Linked DNA regions of Anolis sagrei. The protein of the gene in region 1 interacts with the protein of each later gene in a biochemical or structural test. Links are inferred from orthologs where the notes say so. Each region holds a gene or a part of one and is shown on either strand. Other genes may lie near its edges. The genes, in order: COPS5, CUL3, MIF and IKBKB.

Evidence for each region.
Region 2: of the proteins of COPS5 (region 1) and CUL3, one has a biochemical effect on the other in vitro, tested with the Homo sapiens proteins (2 studies listed by BioGRID). The link is inferred for Anolis sagrei from reciprocal best matches to the Homo sapiens genes COPS5 and CUL3.
Region 3: the proteins of COPS5 (region 1) and MIF form a complex in vitro, tested with the Homo sapiens proteins (2 studies listed by BioGRID). The link is inferred for Anolis sagrei from reciprocal best matches to the Homo sapiens genes COPS5 and MIF.
Region 4: of the proteins of COPS5 (region 1) and IKBKB, one has a biochemical effect on the other in vitro, tested with the Homo sapiens proteins (2 studies listed by BioGRID). The link is inferred for Anolis sagrei from reciprocal best matches to the Homo sapiens genes COPS5 and IKBKB.

Annotation. Positions count from the first base shown.
Region 1 is NC_090024.1:45,219,232-45,226,127, reverse strand, and holds the start of COPS5 (COP9 signalosome complex subunit 5), read right to left. Parts: upstream 3,025-6,896; 5' UTR 2,912-3,024; coding exon 2,745-2,911; intron 1-2,744. UniProt on the Homo sapiens protein: Probable protease subunit of the COP9 signalosome complex (CSN), a complex involved in various cellular and developmental processes.
Region 2 is NC_090023.1:234,255,522-234,262,976, reverse strand, and holds the start of CUL3 (cullin-3), read left to right. Parts: upstream 1-4,432; 5' UTR 4,433-4,906; coding exon 4,907-4,972; intron 4,973-7,455. UniProt on the Homo sapiens protein: Core component of multiple cullin-RING-based BCR (BTB-CUL3-RBX1) E3 ubiquitin-protein ligase complexes which mediate the ubiquitination and subsequent proteasomal degradation of target proteins.
Region 3 is NC_090026.1:765,806-773,704, reverse strand, and holds the start of MIF (macrophage migration inhibitory factor), read right to left. Parts: upstream 3,014-7,899; 5' UTR 2,833-3,013; coding exon 2,725-2,832; intron 576-2,724; coding exon 400-575; intron 1-399. Other genes in the region: solute carrier family 2, facilitated glucose transporter member 11-like, read right to left, coding at 6,937-7,134.
Region 4 is NC_090027.1:24,636,410-24,643,293, forward strand, and holds the start of IKBKB (inhibitor of nuclear factor kappa-B kinase subunit beta), read right to left. Parts: upstream 3,016-6,884; 5' UTR 2,877-3,015; coding exon 2,763-2,876; intron 1-2,762.

The DNA.
Region 1 (6,896 bases):
CTCCTCATTGCGAGAGCTGTTCAGCAGTGGAACTCTTTGCCCCAGTATGGTGGAAGCTCCTTCTTTGGAGGCTTTTAAGCAGAGGTTGGATGGTCATTTGTCGTGGGTGCTTTGAATGTGATTTATAAAGCCATTGTTCTCCCAACCTTGCTATAATGCCTGCGAAACGTGGACTGTCTACAGACTTCACACACAACTCCTGTAACAATTCCATCAGCGTTGCCTCCAAAACAATCCTGCAAATCTCTTGGGAAGACAGGCGGACAAATATAAATGTGCTGGTAGAAGCAAAGACCACCATCAGTGAAGCTATGGTTCTCCGCCATCAACTCCGCTGGACTGGCCATGTTGTCCGAATGCCCGATCACCATCTCCCAAAGCAGTTACTCTACTCCCAATTCAAGAACGGAAAACATAATGTTGATGGGCTGGAAAAGAGATTTAAAGATGGGCTTAAAACTATGGCATAGACACCGAGAATTAGGAAGCCCTGGCCATTGGGTGCTCTAACTGGAAGTCAGCTGTGACCAGCAATGCTGCAGAATTCAAAGAGGCACAAATGGAGGAAGAAACATGCCAAGAGGAAGGCGCGTCAAGCCAACCCTGACAGAAACCGCCTTCCACCTGGAAACCAATGTCCTTAACTGCGGGAGAACATGCGGATCAAGAATAAGGCTCAACAGCCACCTACGAACCCACTGCCAAGGCACCACATCTGAAAGACCATCATCCTCAAACTACGAGGGATCGCCTAAGTAAGAATGTGATTTTCCTGCTTCTTGTCAAGGGGTTTCTTCCAACTGTATGATTCTATCTGCAACGTGGTCTTTCAACCTCACCAATATATTTATTTATATATTTAGTATATTTGTATACCACCGCTTTGAGCCTTCCGGCGACTCGAGGCAGTTTACAAGGCAAAATTCAATGCCACCAAGAACACAATTACAATATAAAATGTCAACATCAATAAAATCATAACACTATAATAAAACATAATTCAATAAATACTTATTAACACAATGTCCAGCCCCGTCATGTAGTTGTTAGGAAAAATTAGGAAAGCCCCTACCCTAGAAACTTTTAAAAAGAACCTCAAAACCTGGCTCTTCTGTTGCGCCTTTGGTGAATAGGTATTCAATCCCACATTATCATTCATTTGCAATGTTCTGTCACTGGAGAATACATTCCCCCCCTCATGGGAAAGCTTGATTCCACAACTCCCACTATAATGAGCCCTCCTCCACAAATAATTTGTTTCTCTTTTATCTCACCCGAGTTTTTAACCAGTTTTAATTAGTTCTTCTTTTAACCATTACATATAGCCCGCCCATTGTCACTGTGTTTGTGTTTACTGTAATTTTATATTGTTGTATATTAATATGTTTTATGTAATTATGATGTTGCAGTTTATTGTTTGCATTTTCGGTTTGCGTTCGGTTGTTCTTTACTGTAATTGTTGTTTGGGCTTGGCCTCATGTAAGCCACTCCAAGTCTCCACTGGGGAGATGGTGGCGGGGTACAAATAAATATTATTATTATTATTCCATTCTTATGTCCGCATCTCTGTTTATGAACCCACGTGCTCACTTCATTCATCCGGAGAGGCCCTGCTCGTGATCCCGCCTGCGTTGCAGGCGCATTTGGTGGGGACGCGAGACAGGGCCTTTTCTGTGGTGGCCCCCCGACTTTGGAACACCCTCCCCAAAGATCTTAGACAGGCCCCTACGTTGGCAGTCTTTAGAAAGAACCTGAAGACCTGGCTGTTCCGATGTGCCTTTCCAGAATAGGAAAACTCCAACAACAAGTCCCAGAAAGCACTTTATTAGAAATTAAAATTGCTGGCACACTGCACTACCCTATAATCCTTACATATCACCTGTCACATCAGCACTTTTAATCTGTACCCATTACTCTGGCCCGGCCCAGTTTTATTGTGTCCCGGTGTATTGTTTTATTGCATGTTGTTTAATATTGCTTTAACTGTTTTAAATTTGCTTTAGGTTGTGTATTGTTATGTTGTGTTTTGAGGCCTTGGCCTTTGTAAGCCGCATCGAGTCTTTTGGGAGATGCTAGCGGGGTACAAATAAAGTTAATAATAATAATAATAATGTCTGTTACTCAGTATTCGCAAATGCCTGCTTAAATAGCCATGTCTTAAGATTCTTCCGAAATGCTAGGAGCAAAGAAGCCAATCTGATCTCCTTGGAAGGGCGTTCCATAGCTGAGGGGCCACCACTGAGGAGGCTCTGTCTCTCATCCCCGCCAGCCGTGCTTGTGATGATGGCGGGACCGAGCGCAGGGCCTCTCCTTTGGACGATCTTAAAGTCCTCGAAGGTTCATAAGGGGAGATTTGTTTGGACAGGCAAGTTGGGCCAGAACCATTTTGTAATGAGTATCGTCTTTTGTAATGAGTGACGCCTTCTCATGATAAGTCATGGCAGTCTGATTTCAATTATGTCAGCGTCTAGGAATAGTTCAGGCTTTAGATTATGAGTCTGCAGCAGGCACGGGCCAACTTAGGCCCTGCAGGGGTTTTGGACTCCAACTCCCACCATTCCTCACAGCCTCAGGCCCCTTCCTTTTCCCCCTCAGCCGCTAGTGAGGGGGAAAAGGAAGGGGCCTGAGGCTGTGAGGAATGGTGGGAGTTGGAGTCCAAAACCCTTGCAAGGCCCAAGCTGCCCCATGCCTGCTCTAAAGCCTCCCCAAACACCACCTCCCAGGGTGCTGGGCCCAGAACTCACTCCTTGGTCCAGGGCTTGGCGGCCAGGATCTCCTGCTGCTGCTTGCGGTCGTACTTGTAGATCTCGTCGATGCTCTGCGCCTCCTGCATGTTGTTCGCCAGTTCCCAAGTCTTCTGGGCCATCCCGCTGCTGCCCGAGGGCCCCGCTGCTGCCGCCGCCGCCGCCATAAGGCCCGCTCTCCACTGACAGGCAGGCAGCCGGACCGAGCCTGCCTGCCGGCCTGTTTTCCGCCAGCCCAGTGCTACTACGGAAGCCGGTGGGTGTCGCTCTTCGCGGAAGGGTTCCGTCCGCGCTGTGCGGCACGCCCCTAGTTCGCGCGCCCCCTAGCGGTCAACAACGGCGTGACCCTCCCGCCTGGAATCGGCTTTGTCTTGCCAACCTTTTTTTGGCGTCATTTCCGCCTGGCGTTACGGCGCATGCGCTGTCGGGGGAAAAGGCGCGTCATGCCGCAAGGCCTCCTGGGAGACACAAGCTTTGAACTTAGAAGCTTGGGCTAAAAGCAGATTCGTAAGCACCGGGAGGAAGTCATGAACTTCTCATCTGCATTGGGTTGCTGTGAATATTCCGGGCTGTGTGGCCATATTCCAGAAGCATTCTCTCCTGACGTTTCTCCCACATCTCAGAGGTTGTGAGGTCTGTTGGAAACTAGGCAAGTGGGGTTTATATCTGTGGAATGTCTGAGGTGGGACAAAGAACTCTTGACTACTTGAGGCAAGTGGGAATATTGCAGCTGGCCAGCTTGACTAACATTGAATAGTCTTGCAGCTTTAAAGCCTGGCTGCTTCCTGCCTGGGGGAATAGGTTGGTAAAGGTAGTCCCCTGACATTAAGTCCAGTCATGTCTGACTCTGGGGTGTGGTGCTCATCTCCATTTCTAAGCCAAAGAGCCAGCGTTGTCCATAGACACCTCCAAGGTCATGTGGCCGGCATGACTGCATGGAGCGCCGTTACCTTCCCGTCGGAGCAGTACCTATTGATCTACTTACATTTGCATGTTTTCGAACTGCTAGGTTGGCAGAAGCTAGGGCTGACAGCAGAAGCTCACGTTGTTCCCCGGAATCGAACCTGCGACCTTTCGATCAACAACCTCAGCAGCTCAGTGCTTTAACCGACTGCGCCACCGGGGGGAATAATAATAATAATAATAATAAACAACTTTATTTAATACCCCACCACCATCTCCCCAATGGGGACTCAGGGAGGCTTAAATGAGGCCAAGCCCAACAGCATATTACAATAAAGTAAAACCAAAACACAGTGACAACACAGAAAAATTCATACAACATATGAGTACAAAAACAATAACCAAAATCATACACAGTAAAATAAAATAACATAACAATGAGTAGGCCGCATGTGCAAGATAAAAACTAAAATACTTGTTGGGATTTCTTGCATCCTGAACATCCCACGATTATATAAACTTAGCTTGATTAACATTGAATAGCCTTGCATCTTTAAAGTCTGGCTGCTTCCTGCCGGGGAGAATCCTTTGTTGGGATTTCTCCCATCCTGGACATTCCATGGTTATATAAACTCAGCTTTATTAACATTGAATAGCCTTGCATCTTTAAAGTCTGGCTGCTTCCTGTCTGGGAGAATCCTTTGTTGGGATTTCTTCCATCCTGGAGATTCCACGGTTATAAAAACTCAGCTCGATTAACATTGAATAGCCTTGCAGCCTTAAAGTCTGGCTGCTTCCTACCTGGGGGAATCCTTTGTTGGGATTTCTCCCATCCTGGACATTCCACGGTTATATAGAATCATAGAATCCTAGAGTTGGAAGAGACCTCATGGGCCATCCAGTCCAACCCCCTGCCAAGAAGCAGGAATATTGCATTCAAATCACCTCTGACAGATGGCCACCCAGCCTCTGTTTACAAGCTTCCAAAGAAGGAGCCTCCACTACACTCCGGGGCAGACTCAGCTTCATTAACATTAAATAGCCTTGCAGCTTTAAAGTCTGGCTGCTTCCTATCTGGGGGACTCCTTTGTTGGGATTTCTCCCATCCTGGACATTCTACAGTTATATAAACTCAGCTTGTTTAACATTGAATAGCCTTACAGCTGCTTCTTACCTGGGAGAATCCTTTGTTGGGATTTCTCCCATCCTGGACATCCCACGGTTATATAAACTCAGCTTGATTAACATTGAATAGCCGTGCAGTCTCGCTTCTTCCTGCCTGGGGGAATCCCTTGTTGAGATTTATCCCATTCTGGACATTCCACAGTTATATAAACTCAGCTCGATTAACATTGAATAGCCTTGCAGCTTTAAAGTCTGGCTGCTTCCTACCTGGGGGAATCCTTTGTTGGGATTTCTCCCATTCTGGACATTCCATGGTTATATAAAGTCAGCTCGATTAACATTGAATAGCCTTGCAGCTTTAAAGTCTGGCTGCTTCCTGCCTTGGGGAATCCTTTGTTGGGATTTCTCCCATCCTAGACATTCCATAGCAAACCAGTTAAGGTATATTGTCAAAGGGATTATGGGTCAGAGTGATTTAGAATGGTTAGAAGAGGGAGTGAAGACATAGATATAAATCCAGAATATATTTTCTTCATAGGGAAAATCAGGAATTTGGGGAAGAAATGGTATAACAAAATAGAGAACGCTGTTAAGTATATATATATATTTGAAATATGGTCTAAGTATGAAGAAAAATTAATACCGCCGATCTCCCCATTAACTCCAGTGTTGATTACAAATAATTTTCCTATAAATCTCAAAAAGGAGTTAGAAAGAGAATTAAAAGAAAAAGGAATAATGAAATTAAAAGACTGGGAACCAAAGATGAAAAATATAGAGGAGATAAAGGACCAATTATCAGGATGAAGTATTGGGTGGTATAAAGCTCTACAATTGGAAAGATGGTTAAGGGGAATAAGAAAGAAATATAAAGGAGATTGAGAACTTACTAAATTTGAAGAAATGATTAGCCAAAGAGGGAGTAAGGAAGAAAAAGGAAGAACAAAAAGGTGTAACAAGCGATATCTATAAAATATTGTTGGAAGGAGTCCAGGAGCAGGACCACCGTAAAGGAATGTGGGAATCGGATTGTATTAAAGTAATATACCCTCAAAATTGGAAAGGAATATGGCATATTAAAATCTGTCAATAAGAATAAAAGAGAATTATTACAAAGTGGTGTGGAGATGGCATCTCACACCAGTCAGATTAAATCAAATCCATAAGAAATACTCTAAGCAGTGCTGGAGGGGCTGGCAAGAAACTGGTACATATATACACATGTGGTGGTCTTGTAAATATGTTAAATTTTTTTGGAAAAATGGATTTCAAGAAACAAGAATCACCCAAATAGAGATAACAGGAATGCCGGAAATAGCACTGCTATCATTTATTACTTCAGAGCTTGATGAGCATGCCCACCCCCAATTAATATATAGAATATTTCCTGTGCTTCTGTTTGTTAATTACTTTATTGAGTTTCTTTCAAGCAATGTAAAGTGCATCAAAGATATTTTTTTTCAGTATCTTTGCTCACTACTAAGAAGCCACCCATGTCCATAGAGGTGCTTTTCATGGGTGATATCCTTTTAGCTCTCATTTCTTTTAAAACACACACAGAACTAGTTGTTGGAGTTCTTACTCAAATGGATAAGCATATCCCTATATAAGTATATATGTCTAAATTAAAAGTCTATTAACTCCAGTAAATGAGAATTGTAATTTGGGGAGGCCACACTCTTGGCCCAAGAAGGCTAAAGACCTTGTAAAACTACAACTCCTGGGATGCCATTGCCTTGAGACGTGGCAGTACACGTGGTCCACAAGAATGAAAACATTGTTGCCTCGAAACTACGTGGCAATGAGAGCGACTGATCTCGCAAAACCCTGTGACTGGTCTTGTGAAACCTTCTTATAGTGCCAAGGCAACAGGGATATCGAGAGGGGAGTGGTTGACTACCCACAAATGATTACTACTACCACATCAGCTCTAGATTCAGTATGGTTTTCTGTGGGAAAGCAGATGGCGACTTCTGGATGGCATATGTTCCGTATCAGAAACTAGAGCTGATGTGGTTTAAAAGGTAAAGGTTTCCCCTGACATTAAGTCTAGTTGTGTTGGACTCTGGGGGGTGGTCCTCATCTCCATTTCTAAGTCGAAGAGCCAGCATTGTTCATCAGCAA
Region 2 (7,455 bases), on another chromosome or scaffold:
CTACAGACAATGCCAGCTCAGAAACTGAGATGAGCACCACCGCCCAGAGTTGGACATGGGGGAGACCCCGCTGTTAGGCCCAGTTTCTGCCAACCTAGAAGTTTGAAAACATGCAAATGTAAACAGATCAATAGATACTGTTTCTGAGGGAAGGTAATGGCACTCTACGCAGTCATGCTGGCCACATGACCTTGGAGGCATCTACGGAGAGAAATTGAGATGAGCACCACCCCCCAGAGTTGGACATGACTAGACTTAATGTAAGGGGAACCCTTTACCTTTACCTTGCATAGCTAGCTGTTTGGAGAGAGGCAAGTGAAATATATAAAATATAATAACAATAGTTTCACAGTGCTCGTGGCTCACCGAACTACAACTCCCAGGATCCCATACCACTGAGCGTTTCATCAGGGACTGCCCTTTGACCAAAGAGACCTGGCAAAAGGTGGCTGTTGTCTTTGACTGGCCAGACTTGGTGATCCAACCTTGGGAGGCAGTGGCCTCAGGAATGGAGCCGGAAACCGGTATTTGGGGGCCACGTCGACACCAAGGAAGGAAGAAGAGGGGACAGCAGGGGGACACCCAGGAGGCTTTTTGGGATATTCCTTGGTCAACGACAAGGTTGATCAACTTGTAAGTTCTCCTGGTTTTGCATAGCTGGCCCTGGTTTTCCAGAAATAACTCAAAGAGAAATAAATCAAAACCCAGCAAATGTTACCTCTACTGTGAATTGGGTAGTAGAGAAAATAGGAGCCCTGAGTAAAACAGAATGAGGCAGGATGCCCTCTAACCAATAGAAAATGTTCTGGCCCTGGCTGGCAGGGACCACACAAGGGATCACCTGAAGAGTTGTAGGTTTTATATAGATATTAGTACAAAAGAAAAAATTGAAAAGTTTGATATATATTAACTGAAAGATATATGTGTGTGTGAATTTGCAATTGTGTTTGTAACTATAACTGTATTTGTAATTGAAACCAAAGAATGATTTAGAAAATGTAAATGTTACAAGAACTGTAAATATTACAAAACTAAGTACGTCTCATTTGATTGTGATTATCAGCAAATGTGTTTGTATAACATATTTATTATAATAAAAAGTACTTATAACCCCCCTGCTCCCCCAAATTACTTATATGTTCTCCTGAGCTATGGAAGTTTAAAAGCGGTGTCGAACTGCACTAATTCTAGATCAGACATGGACATACTTGGGTTAGAAATTGTGTGAGATGAAGTCCAAAACACCTGGAGGGCCCAGGTTTGCCCAGGCCTGATTTACACTATAGAAGCAATGCAGGTTAACATACTTTAATTACCTCGGCCCAATGCTATGTGCTCATGGGATTTGTTGTTCGATGGGGCACCCAGCCCTCTTGGGCAGAGAAGCCCAAACTCTGTTCATGCCTGTGCTAGATGCACCCTATAAACATCTATGTATGTATGTGTTGTAAGCGAATGACAATTAAAATCCTGTATTGTCGAAGGCTTTCATGGCTGGAATCACTGAGTTGTTGTAGGTTTTTCGGGCTGTATGGCCATGTGCTAGAAGCATTATCTCCTGATGTTTTGCCTGCATCTATGGCAAGCATCTTCAGAAGTTGTGAGGTCTGTTGGAAACTAGGAAAATTGGGTTTATATATCTGTGGAATAATGTCCAGTGTGGGAGAAAGAACTCATGTCTGTTGGAGCAAGTTATGTTTCAATTGGCCACCAGATTAGCATTTGATGGCCTTTTAGGTGTGGCTTGTTACTGCCTGGGGGAATCCTTCATTGAGAGGTGATTATTGTTGTTTATTTGTTCAGTCGCTTACGACTCTTCATGAACTCATGGACCAGCCCATGCCAGAGTTCCCTGTCGACCGTCACCACCCCCAGCTCCTTCAAGGTCAAGTCAGTCACTTCAAGGTTAACATCCATCCATCTTGTCCTTGGCCGGCCCCTCTTCTTTTTTTGCTTCCATTTTTCTCAGCATCATTGTTTTCTCTAAGCTTTCATGTCTTCTCATTATGTGGCCAAAGTACTTCATCTTTGCCTATAATATCCTTTCCTCCAATGAGCAGTCGGGCTTTATTTCCTGAAGTATGGACTGGTTGGATCTTCTTGCAGTTCAAGGCACACTCAGAATTTTCAGTAATAGTATGATAGCTGGTATGGAAGCTCCGAGCATTACGCACATTCCGCTACGACGATTGTGAATAAGAGAAGGGACCACGTAGTTCAGAGAGGGGGCGGAGTGAGAGCGGCACAGTGAGGTCAGGAATATACTTTGTAGTTGCATTTGGTGGAAGGATAGAAAGGAGGGGAGGGTTAGGATATGGTCTAGAGTAAGGTTTAGGGTTAGGATTAGGGGTTAGTCTTAGGGTAAGGTTTACGGTAGTAGGGTAAGGTTTAGGGTTAGGATTAGGGGTTAAGCTTAGGGTTAAGGTAAGTTTTAGGGTTAGGGTAAGGTAGGGTAAGGTTTAGGGTTAGGTTTAGGATTAGGGTAAGGTTTAGAATTAGGGGTTAGGATTGAAGGGTTAGGTTTAGGGTTAGGATTGGGGGTTAGGTTTAGGTAGGGTAAGGTTTAAGGTTAGGATTAGGGGTTAGGCTTAGGGTAAAGTTTAAGGTCAGGGTTTGGGTTAGGATTAGGGGTTCGTCTTAGGGTAAGGTTTAGGATAAGGTAGGGTAAGGTTTAGGGTTGGGTTAGGGGTTCGGCTTAGGGTAAGGTTTAGGGTCAGGGTTTGGGTTAGGATTAGGGGTTAGGTTTAGGGTTTGGGGTTAGGCTTAGGGTAAGGTTTAGGGGTTACGTTTAGGGTAAGGATTAGGGTGAGGTAGGGTAATGTTTAGGGTTAGGCTTAAGGATTAGGCTTAGGGTAAGATTTAGGGTTAGGGTTTAGTTTAGGCTTAGGGGTTAGGCTTAGGGTAAAGTAGGGTTAGGGGTTAGGCTTAGGGTTTTACCATTCAAGAACTCTTACATTCCTTCTATAATATGTGTCCGGCCTGGCTTATAGTATCTCAGTCTCTCACTCTGCCGCCCGTCTCGGTCATGTGTTCTGTTCTGCGTTGCGCAAACAGCGCTCCCAAAGGAGTGAAACGGACCCAGCTATCACTATCACCGAATTTTCCTCCAACACCACAGTTTATTTATTTATTTACTTATATACCGCTGTTCTCAGCCCGGAGGCGACTCACAGCGGTTCACAACAAATAAGAACAGCAAAAATTCAATGCAACAGTGTAAAAACAGTTAACAACCTACATATTACACAATTAATAAACAATTACTACAATAACCATTCACTGTCATCTCATCATCAGAAACATGATCCAGATTCGTCATCCATTGTTCCATTCCTATGTTCATTAACCAATGTTAATGTTCACTCCCTCTTGGTTCCGGCCCAAGATACCTAACTGACCGCCTCTTGGCCTATGAGCCCACAAGGACTTTGAGATCTTCCGGGGAGGCCCTGCTCTCGATCCCGCCTGCGTCACGGGCGCGGCTGGCGGGGACGAGAGATAGGGCCTTCTCGGTGGTGGCTCCTCGGCTATGGAACACCTTTCCCGTGGACATCAGGTTAGCTCCCTCCCTGTTGATATTCCGCAGGAAGTTAAAGACCTGGCTATTTAAGAAGGCATTTGATCAAGAAGTGCAATGACTGGTAATTTGACCATAGGAATGGAACAACGGAAATGATATCGGATTGTGGGTTTGACGATGAGACGACTTGGAATGGCTTTGTAGCAATGTTGATGTTTTGATGAGATGTTTTCTGATAATGTTGAATTGTGGATTATTTTCTTCATGTTGTACACCGCAATGAGTCGCCCTTGGGCTGAGAATTGCGGTATATAAGCGCAGTAAATAAATAAATAATCATTGCACTAATTACTCAAACACCTGCTCAAACAGCCAGGTCTTCACTTTTTTTGCGGAAAGTTCAAAAGCATCTATCTTCTTTCACTCAGCTTTCCTTAAGGGCCTGGTCTCACATGGTGATTAGCTGCCCCTGATTGTTTCTTGTCTGGAGTTCCCCTGTGTTTGAGTGTTGTTCTTCATTTCCTGTTATAATTTCAAGAGCTTCATTTTGAAGTACTCAACCCCTCCCCAACAGGGCCTGTGTTGGAACACCTGTCGCCCCAGAGCGGCCTTCGATGGAACAAACGTGCCAGAACTCCCTCCTCCCGCGAGCACTCTGGCCACGTGACCACAACCTCCCTCTCCACCCTCTCTCTCTCCTCCCCCCTCCCTTCCCGTGTCAGCAGCACCCGCCGCCGCGCGCCATCTTCCTCCAATCCCCGCCCACTCCGTCCTCCCACTTTCCTTCTGGGAGGAAGGAAGGAAGGAAGGAAGGGAGAGAAAGAAACCCCTCCCCCTCCTCCTCCTCCTTCTCAATCCTCCTCTTGGCCCCTCCCTTCCCCTCTGGTGGGAGTTTTCTCGAGAGAGAGAGAGAGAGAGAGAGAGAGAGAGAGAGAGGGAGTTCTCGCGAGAGCGGCCTTCTCCTCCTCCTCCTCCTCTCGCTGGCTCTTGCGCCGCCGCCACCGCCGCCGCCGGATCTGCTTGTGTTTCTGTCTGAGGGAGGAAGAGGAGGAGGAGGAAGGCGAGGAGGAGGAGGAGGGGAAAGGGAAGGGAGGGGAGGGGGGCGCCGCTCGGCCCTGCGCACTGAGCGATGTTTGGCCGCCATCGCGGCGGCGGAGGAGGAGAAGAAGCAGGAGCAGCGGGCAGCAGCAGCGGCGGAGGCGGCGAAGGGGGCTGAGGGGCCCGCCACTACTCCCACGCAGGAGCCACTTGGGCCTACCTCCCGCCTCGCCCTCGGAGTGAAGGTCGCCGCCGTGTGAGGAGGAGGGGAGGCCTTCCTTCTCCTCCTCCTTCGTCCCCCTTTCCCTCTCCCCTTCCTTCCTTCCTTCCCCTCAGGAAGGCCCGAAGATGTCGAACCTGAGCAAAGGCACGGGCAGCCGGAAGGATACCAAGATGCGGATCCGAGCCTTCCCGGTGAGTGAGTGAGGGAGGGAGGGAAAGAAGGAAAGAGTGAGGAGGCTCTCTCTCTTCAGGGGAGGGAGTTGGGAGAGTTGACGACGACGCGGCGGCGTTGGGCCTGGAGCCCCACAGCCGGCCTGGGCCTCGCCTAGGAGTTCCCTAGAGCCAGGCCCGGGCGCCAGAGGCTGTCAGCGCCGAGCCCACAGGAAGCGGAGGAAGAGGCCAGGCCGGGCCCACCATCGGCCCCTCGCTTCCCCGCCGAAGACATCCTCACCCCGGCCTCTCTTTCGAACGGTTTAAAAGAAAACAACAGCTACACCCGCCTCCACACAAACACACGCGAGTCTGTTACAGGCCTCGGCGTCAAACAGGACGGGCCCAAAAGTCACCTGATGTTTCTCATAACTCCCTCAAAAGAAAACAATTGGGAAAAGATTTCACACATAGGGTTTGTCCTGGGATACAAGGCCTGTCTGGAAGTGCCCATAAGCAGGAAGTTCTTCCTCCAAATGTTTTAAGTGGATTCCCTTTCCTTGCAGTTTGAATCCATGGCTCCTCTTTAGCCTTTTGATTTTAATTTCACATTATCATAACATCCTATAAGAAATAAATAAATTTACTGTATATACTCAAGTATATACTCTTGTTTTAGGCTGAAAAATGTCCCCCTCAGCTTATACTCGAGTCAAGGATATTTATTATTTTACTCTGTCATTATTATTATTATTATTATTATTGCATTTATTATTTTACTCTATTTATTATTATAGTTATTTTACTTTATTATTATTACAAAGTCCCCCTCGGCTTATACTCAAGTCAAGGTTATTTATTATTTTACTCTGTCATTATTATTATTGTTGTTGCATTTATTATTTTACTCTATTTATTATTATAGTTATTTTACTTTATTATTATTACAAAGTCCCTCTCGGCTTATACTCGAGTCAAGGTTATTTATTATTTTACTCTGTTATTGTTATTATTGCATTTATTATTTTACTCTATTATTATAGTTATTTTACCTTATTATTATTACAAAGTCCCCCTCGGCTTATACTCGAGTCAAGGTTATTTATTATTTTACTCTGTCATTATTATTATTATTGCATTTCTTATTTTACTCTATTATGACTATAGTTATCATTTTATTTTATTATTTTATTTTATAAGTGTTATAATTAAATGTAGTATTTTACTCTATGATTGTTATTATTCCATTTATTATTTCACTCTATAGTATTATTCCATTTATTATTTTACTGTCTTTATTATTATTATTATAAGGATACGTAAGCACATTTATATTGAAGGTTAGGGCAGTCTTATCTTAAATTACAATTTTATATAAATATTCAAAAACATTTAATCTACTGATGCCTCAATTAATGTAATTTTATTGGTATATTTTCATTTTGAAATGCACCAGTAGCTTCTGAATTTCTCACCCTCGGCTTATACTTGAGTCAATCAGTTTTCCCAGTTTTTGTGGTAAAATTAAGTGACTTGGCTTATATTTGGGTCAGCTTATACTCGAATATATACGGTATTTATTTACTTATATTACTTATACCCTGCTTTTCTCTACCCCAAGGGAGACTCAAGGCGGCTTACATATGGCAGTTATTCTATGTCTTAACACATACAGAAATTGAGCTAAAATAATTTGAATTGATAATACCCGAAGGGACTCAGACGTCCTACATGGGGCCAGGCCCAATGGTACACTTAAAACATAACACATTAAAATCACATCAACAAAATAATAACAGAAACTATATAGCAAAATAAATAACCAATAATGTTAGGCAATATAAAACAAAAGGTCAGGGCCAACAACCAACTGTAAGATTCAGTGTCTCATCGTGGGTGGGCGGACTGGTGCCACAACCATAGAGGACAGAGCTAGTGAGTAAGTCTATCATATAGCAGCATTAAGGGTAGAAAAAAAATATCAGCTAGGGTTGAGGTATATAAGGACAGGTTTTTGTATGTATGTCCTGACTAGGACCAGCTATCCAAGGAATTGCCTAGTCAAAGACGGAGAACATCATCCAGGTCTTTTGAGTCCTTGCGGAAAGTGGACAGAGAGGGTGCGAGCCAGATCTTACTAGAGAGGGAATTCCAGAGCTGGGGGGGGGGGGGGCACGACTGAAAACGCCCTTTCCCCACCATCTGCACCTGAGATGGAGATGGCAGCGAGAGAAGAACCTCACCAGAAGATCTTAAATATCGTGTGGGTTCGCAGAGGAAGATGCAGTCACAAAGATAGGCAGGCCCTGAACCGTTTAGGTGATGACCTGCACCTTGAATTGGGACCAAAAACGTATCGGCAGCCAGTGGAGCTGTTTAGGCGGCGGTGGGGGGGGGGGGGGTGTTACAATTAATAAATATTAAATATATTTTTAAATGACATTCAATGTTAAAATCATGCCATCCAGAAATTATAGTATAAGATCACTGCACATATTCCAATTAAATTATTACACTGCGCTATT
Region 3 (7,899 bases), on another chromosome or scaffold:
ACACACACACACCATGCATGGGCCAACCTGGGCCCTCCCCCCCTCCAGGTGTGTTGGGATTTCAACTCCCACAATTCCTAACAATTCCTCTATATATATATATATATATATATAGTATTTCCTGGAGTCTAATGCGCCATCGAATCTGATGCGCCCCTCCATGTTCAAAACCCTGAAAGCCACAAAAGTATTGACCATAGATGATGTGAATCTAATGTGCAGCCTGGTTTTGGGAAGGCAGTTTAGGGGAAAATAATAATAATAATAATAATCTTTAATTGTAACCCGCCCAAAGGGGTGCGCCTTAGATTTGAGTCAATGTGGTCCCTAGCGATGGGTGGGGTGCCTGCTTGGCTGCCTTCTGTGGTCCCCTGGCGCTCTGCCCACCTGTCTACCTACCTGTCGGGCGGGATGTGTAGCTTGTCCTGGAGGAGTGCGCAGAGGAGCTTGGAGTAGGCCTTGTTCTGGGCGGCCCCGATCTTGCCGATGCTGTGGAGGCTGCACAGGGCGCACGGCTCCGACGAGGAGCCCCCAAAGGACATGCGCTGGCCGGGAAGGACGTGCACCGCGATGTACTGGGGAAAGTGAAAGAGGGAAGGAGAGAAGGAAGGAAATGAAGGAGGGAAGGAAGGAAGAGGAAACAAAGGGTGGGAGGGAGGGAAGGAAAGACATGAAGGAGGGAGGGAAGGAAGGAAGGAAGGAAGGAAGGAAGGAAGGAAGGAAGGAAGGAAGGAAGGAAAGAAGGAGGGGAAAAAGGGTGGGAGGGAAGGAAGAAGGGAGGAAAGGAAATTAGAGGAAAGGGAAGGAAGGAAAGAATTAGGTAACAGGGTGGAAGGGAATGTAGAAGAGAAGAAAGGGAGGTAAAGAGGGGGGAGGGAAGAGAGGAAAGAAAGGGAACAAACAGGTGGAAGGGAGGAAAGGAAGGAAATGAGAGGGAAAGGAAGGAATTAAAGAGGTAAGGAAGGAAATGGAGGCAAGGCAGGAATGAACAAAGGGAGAGAAGGAAAGAAATGAAGGATGGAAGGGAAGGAAGGAAAGAAGGAGGGGAAAAAAGGTGGGAGGGAAGAGAGGAAAGAAAGAGGGAGGGAAGGAAAGAAGGGAAGGATGGAGGAAAGCAAAGGAAGGAGGGAAGGGAAGACAGGAAAGAAAGAGGGAACAAAGGGTGGAAGGGAGGGAAGGAAATGAGAGGGAAAGGGAGGAATTAAAGAGGGAAGGAAGGAAAGAAGGAGGGAACAAAGGGTGGCAGGGAAGGAAGAAGGAAAGAGGGAAGGAAGGAAAGAAGGCAGTAGCCAAGGGTGGGAGAGAATGAATGAAGGGAAGGATGGAGGGAAGGAAAGGAAGAGGAGAAGGAAAGGGAGGGAAGAGAGAAAGGAAGGGGGGAAATAAGTAGGTCACAAAGGGTGGAGGGAGGGAAGGAAGGGCGAAGAAGACAAGAGAGCATTGTCTGGGTGTGAGCTTTCTCTCAGAGAAGATTCCTCCCTCCCTCTTTCCCTCCTCTCATTCCTCCTCTCCTGGAATCTTTCCTCTTTCTTCCCTTCTTTCCTTCCTTTGCCCTCCCTTCCCATCCTTTCCTGTGTTCCCTCTTTCCATCTATTCCTTCTTTAGCATTTTGTTTTCCCTTCTCCCTTTCTCTCCTTCCTTCCTCCCTTCTCTCCTGGAATCTTCCTCCCTTTTCTCTTCCTTCTTTCCCCTTTTCCTCCCTCCCTCCCTTCCATCTTTCCTTCCTTCCTTGGTCTTTCCCTCCCTCCTTTTCTCTCCTTCTGTGTTCATTCTTCCTTCCGCCCACTTCTTCCTTCCTTTCCTTCCTTCTCTCCTTTCACCTCTCCTATAGTTTTCCCTCCTTCCTCCCTTTTGTCCTTCCTTCCATCCATCTATCCCTTCCTTGGCCCTTCCTTTCTCTCTCTGCCTTTCTCTCCTTCCATCTCTTCCTCTTTCTTTCTTTTCTTTCTCCCTTCACTTCCCTCCTTCCTTTGCCCTCCTTTCCCACCCTTTCCTCTCTTCCTTCCTTCCTTCCCTTCCTGAGCCTTTCCTTCCTTCCTTCTCTCCTGCAATCCTTTTTCTCTTCCCCCTTCTTTCCCTTCACTTCCTTCCTTCGCCCTCCCTTCCCATCCTTCCCTGTATTCCTTCCTTCCATAGCCTTTCCTCTCCTCCTTTCCTTCCAGACCTTCATTCCTCTCTCCTTCCTTCCTCCTCTCCTGGAATGTTTCCTCTATCCTTCTTTCCTTCCTTCCTTCGTTTTCCCTTCCCATCCTTCCCTCTCTTCCTTCCTTCCTGAGTTTTCTCTCCTTCCTTCTCTCCCTCTTCCTTCCTTCCTTTGTCCTGCCTTCCTCCTATCCTTTCCTCTATTCCTCCTTCCTTTCCCTCTTTCCCTCCTCTCCTTTCTCCTCTCCTGGAATCTTTCCTCTATCCTCCTTTCCTTCCTGCCTTTGTCCTCCCTTCCCATCTTTCCCCTCTCCTTCTCTCCTTCCTTCCTTTCTCTCTCTTCCCTTCCCTTCTTTCCCTCTTTCCCTTCCTCTCCTCCTTTCCTTCCAGCCCTCCCTCCCTCCCTCCTTTCCTGGAATCTTTCCTCTATCCTCCTTTCCTTCCTTCCTTCGTTTTCCCTTCCCATCCTTCCTTCCTTCCTTCCTTCCTGTGCTTTCTCTCCTTCCATCTCCCGCTCTTCCTTCCTTCCTTCCTCCTTCCTTCCTTCCCTTCCTTCCCTCCTTCCCTTCCTCTCTTCCTGACCTGGCTGGGCTTCCCGGTGGCCTTGGCCAGCTGGTCGGTGATCTCTGCGGTCAAGCTGTCCGGAATGCCTTCCGCCGCCACGTTGGTGTTCAGCACGAACATCGGCATCTTCCCCCAAGGAAGGAAGTCGAAGCAAGGAAGCCAAGGAAGGAAGGAAGGAAACAGAAGCCCGCCTGGGTCGCAATGCAGCGCAATGGCAGGAAAGGAAGGAAGGAAGGAAGGCAGGAAGGCAGGGAAGAAGGCAGTCTGTGCGTGCAAGCACGTAGCTGGCCAGGACCGGAAGAGGGCGGGGCCAGGGGAGGGGTGGCCACACCCCCTTGGGGGGGACACAGACACGCCCCCCGCGTCACGTGGGAAGGAGGGAGGCAGAGAGGGTTCAAACGAGGACAGCCTGGAAAAGGCAGACAAACAGGCAGACCCTCCTGGAGCCCGAAGGCAGGGAAGGAAGAAGGAGGAAGGAAGGAAGGAGAGCCCTCCCTCCCCTTGGCAGAGAGTTCCACTGCTGAACAGCTCTCCCAGTCAGCTTTCTAAACAAGCCCCTTGGTCTCTCCCTATGGATTTCCCGGTCCTCAAGCACTCTCTGCTTCATTTGGGAAAATGCTGCACTCACAGAGCTCAGGCGATGTTGTATTTCAGTCTCAATGTTGACATCTGTAGACAGTCCATGTTTCGCAGGCATAGAGCAGTGTTGGGAGGACAATAGCTTTATAGACAAACACCTTGGTCTCCCTACAGATGTCCCGGTCCTCAAACACTCTCTGCTCCATTCAGGAAAATGCTGCACTCGCAGAGCTCAGGCGGTGTTGTATTTCAGTGTCGATGTTGACATCTGTAGACAGTCCACGTTTCGCAAGCATATAGCAGGGTTGGGAGGACAATGGCTTTATAAACAAGCCCCTTGGTCTCCCTACGGATGTCCCGGTCCTCAAACACTCTCTGCTTCATTCAGGAAAATGCTGCACTCGCAGAGCTCAGGCGGTGTTGTATTTCAGTGTCGATGTTGACATCTGTAGACAGTCCACGTTTCGCAGGCGTAGAGCAGGGTTGGGAGGACAATGGCTTTATAAACAAGCCCCTTGGTCTCCCTACGGATGTCCCGGTCCTCAAACACTCTCTGCTTCATTCAGAAGAATCTTGGCAGAGAGTTCCACTGCTGAACAGCTCTCCCAGTCAGCTTTCTAAACAAGCCCCTTGGTCTCCCTTCGGATGTCCCGGTCCTCAAACATGCTCTGCTTCATTCAGAAGAATGCTGCACTCACAGAGCTCAGGCAGTATTGTATTTCAGTCTCAGTGTTGACATCTGTAGACAGTCCACATTTCACAGGCATAGAGCAGGGTTGGGAGGGGAATAGCTTTATAGACAAGCCCCTTGGTCTCCCTACGGATGTCCCGGTCCTCAAACACTCTCTGCTTCATTCGGGAAAATGCTGCACTCGCAGAGCTCAGGTGGTGTTGAATCTCAGTATCAATGTTGACTTTTGTGGAGAGGTGGCTGCCAAGGGAGCGGAAATGGTCCACATTTCACCTGGTGGGCCATCATCCAGCTCAACCCCATTCTGCCAAGAAGCAGGAATATTGCATTCAAAGCACCCCCGACAGATGGCCATCCAGCCTCTGTTTAAAAGCTTCCAAAGAAGGAGCCTCCGCCACACTCCGGGGCAGAGAGTTCCACTGCTGAACGGCTCTCACAGTCAGGAAGTTCTTCCTCATGTTCAGGTGGAATCTCCTCTCTTGTAGTTTGAAGCCATTGTTCCATTGCGTCCTAGTCTCCAAGGAAGCAGAAAGGAAGCTTGCTCCCTCCTCCTCCCTGTGGCTTCCTCTCACATATTTATACAGGGCTCTCATCATATCCCCTCTCAGCCTTCTCTTCTGCACGCTAAACATGCCCAGCTCTTGAAGCCACTCCTCACAGGGCTTGTTCTCCAGACCCTTGATCATTTGAGTCTCCCTCCTCTGGACACATTCATAGAATCATGGAATCATGGAATCCTAGAGTTGGAAGAGACCTCGTGGGCCATCATCCAGTCCACCCCCATTCTGCCAAGAAGCAGGAATATTGCATTCAAATCACCCCTGACAGATGGCCATCCAGCCTCTGCTTAAAAGCTTCCAAAGAAGGAGCCTCCACCACACTCCCTCCGGGGCAGAGAGTTCCACTACTGAACAGCTCTCCCAGTCAGGAAGTTCTTCCTCATGTTCAGGTGGAATCTCCTTTCTTTCCTGTAGTTGGAAGCCATGTCTCCCTTGCATCCTGGTCTCCAGAGGTTGGAGATCTTCTTCTGGAAGTATAATTAGATATCAACCAAGGAATCCTTTTGGGAGAGGAATCAACAGCAGAAGAAATAAGTCATGAAAAGTAATGTATGGACTCAAGAGGCTGGGGGACCCAAGCGGATGGACTGGATGGCCTTTGGGGGACCATCCCAACTCTGCCATCCCATCACTAGGATTCTATGGCTCACCCGGTCAGAGACTAAGGCGGCCATTCTGTCCGTCTCTCCCTCTTTCTTTCCACTTTGGCCAAAGGAAAACCAAAAGTTGATGCAAGCTAATTGTTGACCCTTTTCAAGTTTGCAGTTAATGCAATTTCTGGGCAGAAGTTGGCAGAAAATGCAGGAAGTGAGTTGACAAGGACCAATCAGAGAGCGGGAAGGGAGAGTGCCCCTTAGAAAGTAGTTCAAGACACACCTTGTCCAGCATTCGTTACTTAGGCATAGTGATAACGTTATCTACACCGATCTCTTTGAGCCGCTTTGAGTTCGCTTTAGGGAGATACAGCAAGGAATAAATACATAAAATAATAATAATAGTATCTGCAGTTCAACTACATATCATGGTTTTCTTTTTGTAATTGCAGTTCCTTTTGTACGTTTCGTTTGGTATTATAATTACTCACATTTCCTTTTGCAACTATGATTATTCTTGAGTGGTTACTTTTGTGTTGTAGTTACTTGTCATTACTGTTGCTGCTACTTTTGTACCTTTAGTTTTATGATGTCATTACTTACATTTCCTTTTTCAACACATTTTTGGAATTGCAATTACTTTTGTACATTTCATTTTGTATTGTAATTAATTACATTTCCCTTTGCAAATGCAGTTACTTTTGAGTAGTTACTTTTGCACATTTAGTTTTACAATGTTGTTACTTACATTTCCTTCAGCAACTGCAGTTACGTTTGAGCAGTTACTTTTGTGTTAGTTACCTGTAATTACTATTGCTGTTACTTTTGCACATTTAGTTTTATGATGTCATTACTTACATTTCCTTTTGCAACAAGAGTTACTTTTCAGCAGTTGCTTTTATGTTATAGTTGTAATTATTGTTAGTTACTTTTATACATTTAGTTGTACGATGTTATCTACATTTCCTTTTGCAACAAGTTACTTTTCAGCAGTTACTTTTGTGTTAGTTACTTGTAAGCACATTTAGTTTTACAATGTCGTTACATTTCCTTTTGCAACAAGTTACTTTTGAGCCGTTACTTTTGTATTGTAGTTACTTGTAATTATTGTTACTGTTATTTTTACACATTTAGTTTTATGATGTTGTTATTTACATTTCCTTTTGCAACAAGTTACTTTTCAGCCGTTACTTTTGTATTGTAGTTACTTGTAATTATTGTTACTGTTACTTTTGCACATTTAGTTTTATGATGTCATTACTTACATTTCCTTTTGCAACAAGAGTTACTTTTCAGCAGTTGCTTTTATGTTATAGTTGTAATTATTGTTAGTTACTTTTATACATTTAGTTGTACGATGTTATCTACATTTCCTTTTGCAACAAGAGTTACTTGTCAGCAGTTACCTTTGTGTTAGTTACTTATAAGCATATTTATTTTTATGATGTCGTTACTTACATTTCCTTTTGCAACAAGAGTTACTTTTCACCAGTTGCTTTTATGTTCTAATTCATTGTAATTACTTTTGCAGTTACTTTTATATAATTAGTTTTACAATGTAGTTACTTACATTTCTTTTTGCAACTGCAGTTATTTGGGTAATTTGCATTATAATTAGTTGCCGTTACTTGTAGTTACTATCAGTAATTCTTTTGTGGTGGACAGACACAGATAACAAGGATGCAAAGTAACTTAGAGAGCGAGAACAGTTGCTTTATTAACAAAAAATGGAAGCATAAATTTGGATTTCTAGAAAGAAGGAATTTTGGGGTCCAAAAATCTATCCCCCCCCCCCCCCCCCCAATCCTTATAATTTGGTGCAGAAGGCGGGGGCGTCTGGGGCAGCGCTCGTTTCCAATTCCTTCTTGAAATTGATCTTGTCGAATTCCTTCCGGATTTCCATGATCGACTTCTCTTTGGTTTCCGGAAGATAGAAGTAAACGAGGAAACCGGAGAGATACAAGACGGCCATGAAAAGCAGGAAGCAGAACTGGCCAAAGTGTTCCTGCAGGAAGGAGAAAAAGAGGAAAATTACATTCATGTTAAATCAATTGTTCTACAAAAGTAAAAATTTAAAAAATATTTAATATTTTAAAAATATTTAAATTAAACCATTTTTCATATTTTAAATATTTTAAAATATTTAATATTTTGAAATATTTAAATTAAACCATTCTTCATATTTTTTTAAAAATGATTAATTTTATTTTAAATTATTGAAATTTAAAATGGAATAAAAAAATTTAAAAACAAGAAAATTAACCAAACTTAAAATATTACATAGAAAATTCTTAAAATATTACATAGAAAATTCTTCTAAATATTTTTTTAAATGATTAATTCTATTTTAAATTACTGAAATTAAAAATAGAATAAAAATGTAAAAATAAGGAAATTAACTAAACGTAAAATATTACATAGAAAAATTAAATTCATATTAAATTAATTTTTAAGTAAATATTTTAAAAATATTTAATATTTAAAAAATGATTAATTCTATTTTAAATTACTGAAATTAAAAATAGAATAAAAATGTAAAAATAAGGAAATTTACCGAACTTAAAATATTACATAGAAAAATTAAATTCATATTAAATTAATTTTTTTTAAAAAAAGTAAATATTTTTAAAATATTTAATATTTTAAAAATATCAAATTAAATCATTCTTAATGTTTTTTTAAAAAATGACTAATTCTGTATTAAATTATTGAATTTTTTTAAAAAATGTAAATATTTTAAAAATATTTAATATTTAAAAATATTTAAATT
Region 4 (6,884 bases), on another chromosome or scaffold:
GATGCCAACAATGTGATGAACGCAGCACACTGATTCTCAAAACTGCCTCCCAAAACCTGACAAATAAATGCTTTTGGAGCCTTCAGGGAGTTGTTCTTGCAAGGAGATTTTGGAAAGGGCAAAAACGATATTCTGAAAAGGACAAGTAGCAGGGGATTATGAGAGGAACGTCGACAAGTCCATTTTAAATCGAGAATTTCATTATGCATTTAGTCTTTTTAATGTGTATCTTGTATGTGTTTTGATAGTGTTGTTGTGTGTGTTTTGATAGTGTTTACCGACTGTTAGGAATTGTGGGAGTTGTGGGAGCTTCGGGAGACAGTGGTCGGGCATCCGGACAACATTGGCAGTCCAGTGGAGTTGATGGCGGAGGACCATCGCTTCAGTGCTGGTGGTCTTTGCTTCTTCCAGCACACTGACGTTTGTCCGCTTGTCTTCCCAAGATATTTGCAGGATTTTCCAGAGGCAGCGCTGATGGAATCGTTCCAGGAGTTGCATGTGATGTCTGTAGACAGTCCACGTTTCGCAGGCATATACCAGGGTTGGGAGGACAATAGCTCTATAAACAAGCACCTTGGTATCCCTATGGATGTCCCGGTCCTCAAACACTGTCTGCTTCATTCAGAAAAATGCTGCACTCGCAGAGCTCAGGTGGTGTTGGTCAACATTTTCTAATGTTACACCATTAAGCTGTATCTCTGGCATTGGAGAGGGGTTGGCAGGAAACTGCTGGAACAGTACTTTGGTTTTTTTGATGTTCAGTGACAGGCCGAGCTTCGTGTATGCTTCTGCGAAGGTGTTTAGAGTGGCTTGTAGATCTTCTTCTGAATGTGCACAGACGACATTGTCACAAGCATACTGGAGTTCTGTAACAGATGTTGTTGTAACCTTGGTTTTGGCTTTCAGTCTGCTGAGGTTAAACAGCTTGCCATCTGTCTGATTATAGATTATTTCCACTCCGGTGGGAAGCTTCCTATCAACAAGATGAAGTATAGCGATGAAGATGGAGAATAAAGTTGGGACAATAACACATCCCTGTTTGACGCCTGATTCCACCTTAAATGGGTCACTTTGGAAGCCGTTGCTATCCAAGACTGTTGCCATCATGTCATCATGGAGGAGCCACAGGATGTTCACAAATAAAAGAATTACATAAATTCGAAACCATTACTGGATGAGGATGAACAAGCTGAAGATCAATCCCGACAAGACAGAGGTCCTCCTGGTCGATCATAAACCGGATTGGGGTATAGGGTGGCAACCTGTGCTAGACGGGGTTACACTCCCCCTGAAGTCACAGGTCCGCAGTTTGGGTGTCCTCTTGGATTCATCACTTACGCTTGAGGCTCAGGCGTCGGCGGTGTCCGGGAGGGCTTTTGCACAATTGAGACTTGTGCGCCAACTGAGACTGTACCTCGTAAAGGCTGATCTGGCTGGGGTGGTCCATGCCTTGGTCACCTCTAGATTGGACTACTGTAATGCACTCTACGTGGGACTGCCCTTGAAAATGGCTCGGAAATTTCAACTGGTCCAACGGGCGGCGGCCAGGCTGTTAACTGTCGCTCCTTACAGAAAGAGGTTAACCCTCCTGTTTAAAGAGCTCCATTGGTTACCGTTCATCTTCCGGTCCCAATTTCAGGTGCAGGTGCTCACCTACAAAGCCCTAAACGGTTTGGGACCCGCCTACCTGCGTGACCGCATCTCCATATATGAACCCACATGTTCCCTTCGATCATCTGGAGAGGCCCTGCTCACGATCCCACCTGCGTCTCAAGCGCGTTTGGTGGGGACGAGGGACGGGGCCTTCTCTGTGGTGGCCCCCCGACTCTGGAACTCTCTCCCCAAGAACATCAGACAAGCCCCAACTTTGACAATCTTTAGGAAGAGCCTGAAGACCTGGCTGTTCCAGTGTGCCTTTCCAGAATAGGAAACTCCCGGCATCATGTCCCAAACGCACTTTGTTAGAGACCAGGATTGTCTGCACATTGCACCTACCTCCAAAAATCGTTACATACCTCCTGTCAAGTTCAGCACTTTTAAATTTTGTCCATTACATTTGGCCCGGCCTTCTAGATTTTAAATGCATCATGGTGTCATTGTTTTTAGTGTTTTATTGTCTTTGCTTGATGTTTTATTGTTTGCTTATGAGTTTTATTGTTATATTTGTATGTTGTTGTTTGTTGCAGCCTTGGCCTTTATAAGCCGCATCGAGTCCTTCGGGAGATTTTGCAGGGTATAAATATAGTTAACAATTAATAATAATAATAATAATTTTCCATGTATTGTCGAAGGCTTTCATGGCCGGAATCACTGGGTTGCTGTAGGTTTTTCCGGGCTATATGGCCATGTTCTGGAGGCAATTTTTCTCCTGACGTTTCGCCTGCATCTATGGCAAGCATCCTCAGAGGTAAAGAGGTCTGTTGGAAGTAGGAAAAACTAGGTTTATATATCTGTGGAATGACCAGGGTGTGACAAAGGACTTTTGTTTGCTGGGGCTAGCTGTGGATGTTTCAGCTGATCACCTTGATTTGCATTTGAAAATTGCATAATTTTCCAGATCACCAGTCTGGGCCACAGCAACGCATGGCAGGGGACAGCTAGTGCTTCCTATGTCCCATCTGCATGGGGGTATTGGGGTAACTTTGGCCTTACAGAGGGATGTGGACTCCAGCTCCCAGAAGACTCAGCCAGCATTCTGGGAGTTGAAGTCTCAGCCGCAAGCCACGCCCCTCTGGCCCTCCCTCCCTCCCTCCCTGACTCACTTTGTGCTGCCAGCGGATGACGTTGCCGAAGCCCCCGGTGCCGAGCCGTTCGCGCATCTCCCAAGCCCCGCAGGAGGCCGTGGGCTGGAGCGGTGGAGGAGGCGGAGGCGCCATCGCAAACCAGCCCGGCTTCTCCTCACGGGGACACCGAATACAACCCCCCTTCCTCCTCCTGCTTCTGTTTCCTCCCTCAGCAGCAGGACTAGGCCGCGCCGCTCTCCTTCCGCGTCTTCAGGAAAAGGGAGGCGGGCCCCGAGGGAGAAAAAGACTAGGCCGCGCCTTAAAGGGACCGCAGCATTAAAAAAAAAGAAAAACAAATAGATCAGTGGTTATTATTATTATTATTATTATTATTATTATTATTATTAAACTTTGTTTGTACCCCGCTAGCATCTCCCGAAGGATTCGATGCGGCTTACACAGGCCAAGGCCTCAACACACAACACAACAATACAATCTAAGCAAATCAAACAATTAAAAACAGAATAAAGCAAAATAAACAACAGGCACAATACACTAAACACAATAAAACTGGGCCGGGCCAGAGTAATGGGTACAAGATTAAAAGTGCTGATGTGACAGGAGATGTATATAGGGTGACCCCCCCCACCACCACCACAACATGAGGAACTGTATTGAGGGGTCGCAGGATTAGGAAAGTTGAGAACCATTGTTGTTGTTCATTTGTTCAGTCGTCTCCGACTCTTCGTGACCTCATGGGCCAGCCCACGCCAGAGCTCCCTGTCGGCCGTCACCACCCCCAGCTCCTTCAAGGTCAGTCCAGTCACTTCAAGGATGCCATCCATCCATCTTGCCCTTGGTCGGTCCCTCTTCCTTTTGCCTTCCACTTTCCCCAGCATAATTGTCTTCTCCAGGCTTTGCTGTCTCCTAATGATGTGGCCAAAGTACTTCAGCTTTGTCTCTAGTATCCTTCCCTCCAGTGAGCAGTCGGGCTTTATTTCCTGGAGGATGGACTGGTTGGATCTTCTCGCAGTCCAAGGCACTCTCAGAACTTTCCTCCAACACCACAGCTCAAAAGCATCGATCTTCCTTCGCTCAGCCTTCCCTAAGGTCCAGCTCTCACATCCATAGATTACTACAGGGAATACCATGGCTTTGACTAGGCGGATCTTTGTTGCCAGTCTGATGTCTCTACTCTTTACTATAACATGAGGAAACAACCAGGCACATCTTAACACCTCTCAACAAAAGATTTTCCCAGGCTCAGGCAGGCCTTCAAATGCTAATGAAGGTGGCCAGTTGAAACATTCACACCTAGCTCCAGCAGAGAAGAGCTCTTTGCCCCACCCCAGCCATTCCACAGATATATAAACCCATTGTCCTATTTCCAACAGACCTCACTACCTCTGAGGATGCTTGCCATAGATGCAGGCGAAACGTCAGGAGAGAATGCCTCTGGAACATGGCCCTATAGCCCGAAAAAACCCACAAGAACCTAGTGATTCCAGCCATGAAAGCCTTCGACAACCATAACATTATTTTCATTGCTACTTCATACATTTTGTAATTTTGCTATTGTTATTAATCACAATGTGAAAACATATCTGATATGCAGTGTGTGTTTTCATTCATTAACTGGAACAAAGTTGGCAAAAATATCCACATTTGAATACTGGTGGGGTTGGATGGGGGAATGATTTTGTCATTTGGGAGTTGTAGTTGCTGGGATTTATAGTTCACCTACAATCAAAGAGCATTCTGAACTCCACCAGAGATGGAATTGAATTGATGCGGCTTACAAAGGCCAAGGCCTCAAAACACAACACAACAATACAACACCTAAAGCAAATTAAAAACAATAAAAGCAATATTAAACAACAAGCAATAAACAATACATCAAGACACTATAAAACTGGGCCGGGCCAGAGTAATGGGTACAGAATTAAAAGTGCTGATGTGACAGGTGATATGTAAGGATTATAGGGTAAGTGCAGTGTGCGGTGTGCAGCAATCTTAGTTCTAATAAAGTGCTTCTGGGACTTGTTATTGGAGATTCCTAATCTGGAAAGGCACATCGGAACAGCCAGGTCTTCAAGTTCTTTCTGAAGACTGCCAATGTAAGGGCCTGTCTAAGATCTTTGGGGAGGGTGTTCCAGAGTCGAGGGGCCACCACAGAAAAGGCCCTGTCTCGCGTCCCCCACCAAACGCACCTGCGACGCTGGCGGAATCATGAGCAGGGCCTCTCCAGATGACCGAAGTGAGTGCGTGAGTTCATAAATGGAGATACGGTCACGTAGGTAGGATGGTCCCAAACCATTTAGGGCTTTGTAGGTAAGCACCTGCACCTTAAATTGGGCTCTGAAAATAAATGGCAGGCAGTGGAGCTCCTTGAACAAGCATTGGTGAGCACCCTCTGGGTTCATCCATTTAACCAATTACAGATCCACCTCACCGTAGTGTTGCCTAGCCCACATTGGAATAGTTTGTTTGCCAGAAGGTCATGGGGAACCTTGTCGAAGGCCTTACTGAAATCCAGGTATGCTTCATCCACGGCATTCCCCGCATCTACCCAGCTTGTAACTCTATCAAAAAAAGAGATCCGGTTAGTCTGGCATGACTTGTTTTTGATAAATCCATGTTGACTTAATAAACCATTAAGCTGTATTTCTGGCATTGCAGAGGGATTGGCTGGTGCTTGCTGGAAGAGTACTTTGGTTTTCTCAATGTTCAGTGAAAACAGTACCATATAATCCTGTTCAAAGCTGATCATCTGGATTCAGAGACGAGTATAGGGCAGTGTAGTTTGGGCCTGTGATATGATGTAGCCACAGGAGGGCAGCATCTGCTCTATTTATAGATAAAATTTATGCGTAGACAGAAGTCTAAGATTTGTGTTTTGCATCCTTGGCATGAGGCAGAAAGTATTACTACTGTGATTTCTTTTTCTCATCCTCTTCACTACACAAACACAAAAACATCCTAAGGAAAGCATGCCCTCATACATTTATCCTCTGCTCTGGATTTTCCGTTGCAGAACTACTCCAATGTCCAGATGGGATCACATCTTCCTGCAACCTTACCCACTCCTTCGCACTTTGGTAAAATTTCCCCTTTTCCGTGCTTAATAATGTGGCCATTAGGTCAAGCTTTGCTAGACAGGCAAAGAGGCTTCAATGGGATGCTTTTAATGCACAAACCATGTCAACAATCAATTCAACTTTGTGTTTCAAAAGGCATCTTCTCTGTCACAATATCAGGAGTTTCCTTTTTGCATCTAAAAAAGGTGTTTCCATTTGGAGGATTGGTAAGGAGACTGGATGGCCATAAAATTATTTATGAATTGTAATGTAAATATCTGCTACACAGGATATGTTTTCATTCACTGGTCCAAATTTGGCACAAATACCTGGAACGCCCAAATTTGAATCCTGGTGGGGTTTGGGGGGAATTGATTTTGTCATTTGGAAGTTGTAGTTGTTGGGATTTATCGTTAATCTACAATCAGAGGGCATTCTGAACTCCACCAAAGATGGAATGGAACCAAACTTGGCACACAGAACTCCCACAACCAACAGAAAATACTGGAAGGGTTTGGTGGGCATTTACCTTGCGCTTTGGAGTTGTAGTTCACCTACATCCAGACAGCATTGTGGACCCAAACAATGATAGACCTGGACCATGCTTCGCATGGATACTCAATATGCCCAAATATGAACACTGGTGGGGTTTGGGGGAAATAGACCTTGACTTTTGGGAGTTGTAGTTGCTGGGATTTATAGTTCACTTACAATCAAAGAGCTTTCTGAACCCCACCAACGATAGAAATGGGCCAAACCTTTCACACAGTACCCCCATGCCTTGAAGGGACTCACTGGCGCAAGCCTCCCTCCAGCATCACATGCTCTTCCTTGCTCGCACATGCGCACCACGCTGCCATGTGCTGGGTATGCCTGCTCTCCCCTCCCCTGCTTGAAAATTTAAAAACAACCCTCCCCTTGGTTTTGAGGCCAGCTGAGAGGCCAGTCACTCACAGCAGAGGAGGGCTTTGGTGGGAGGATTCCCCATCTGTTTTCAAAAAAGAACAGAAGGACAGGCAGAGAGATCTTCAGCCTTCTCTGCCAAAGGGGTTCCTAAGACCCTCAGAAATACATGTTTTCTAAT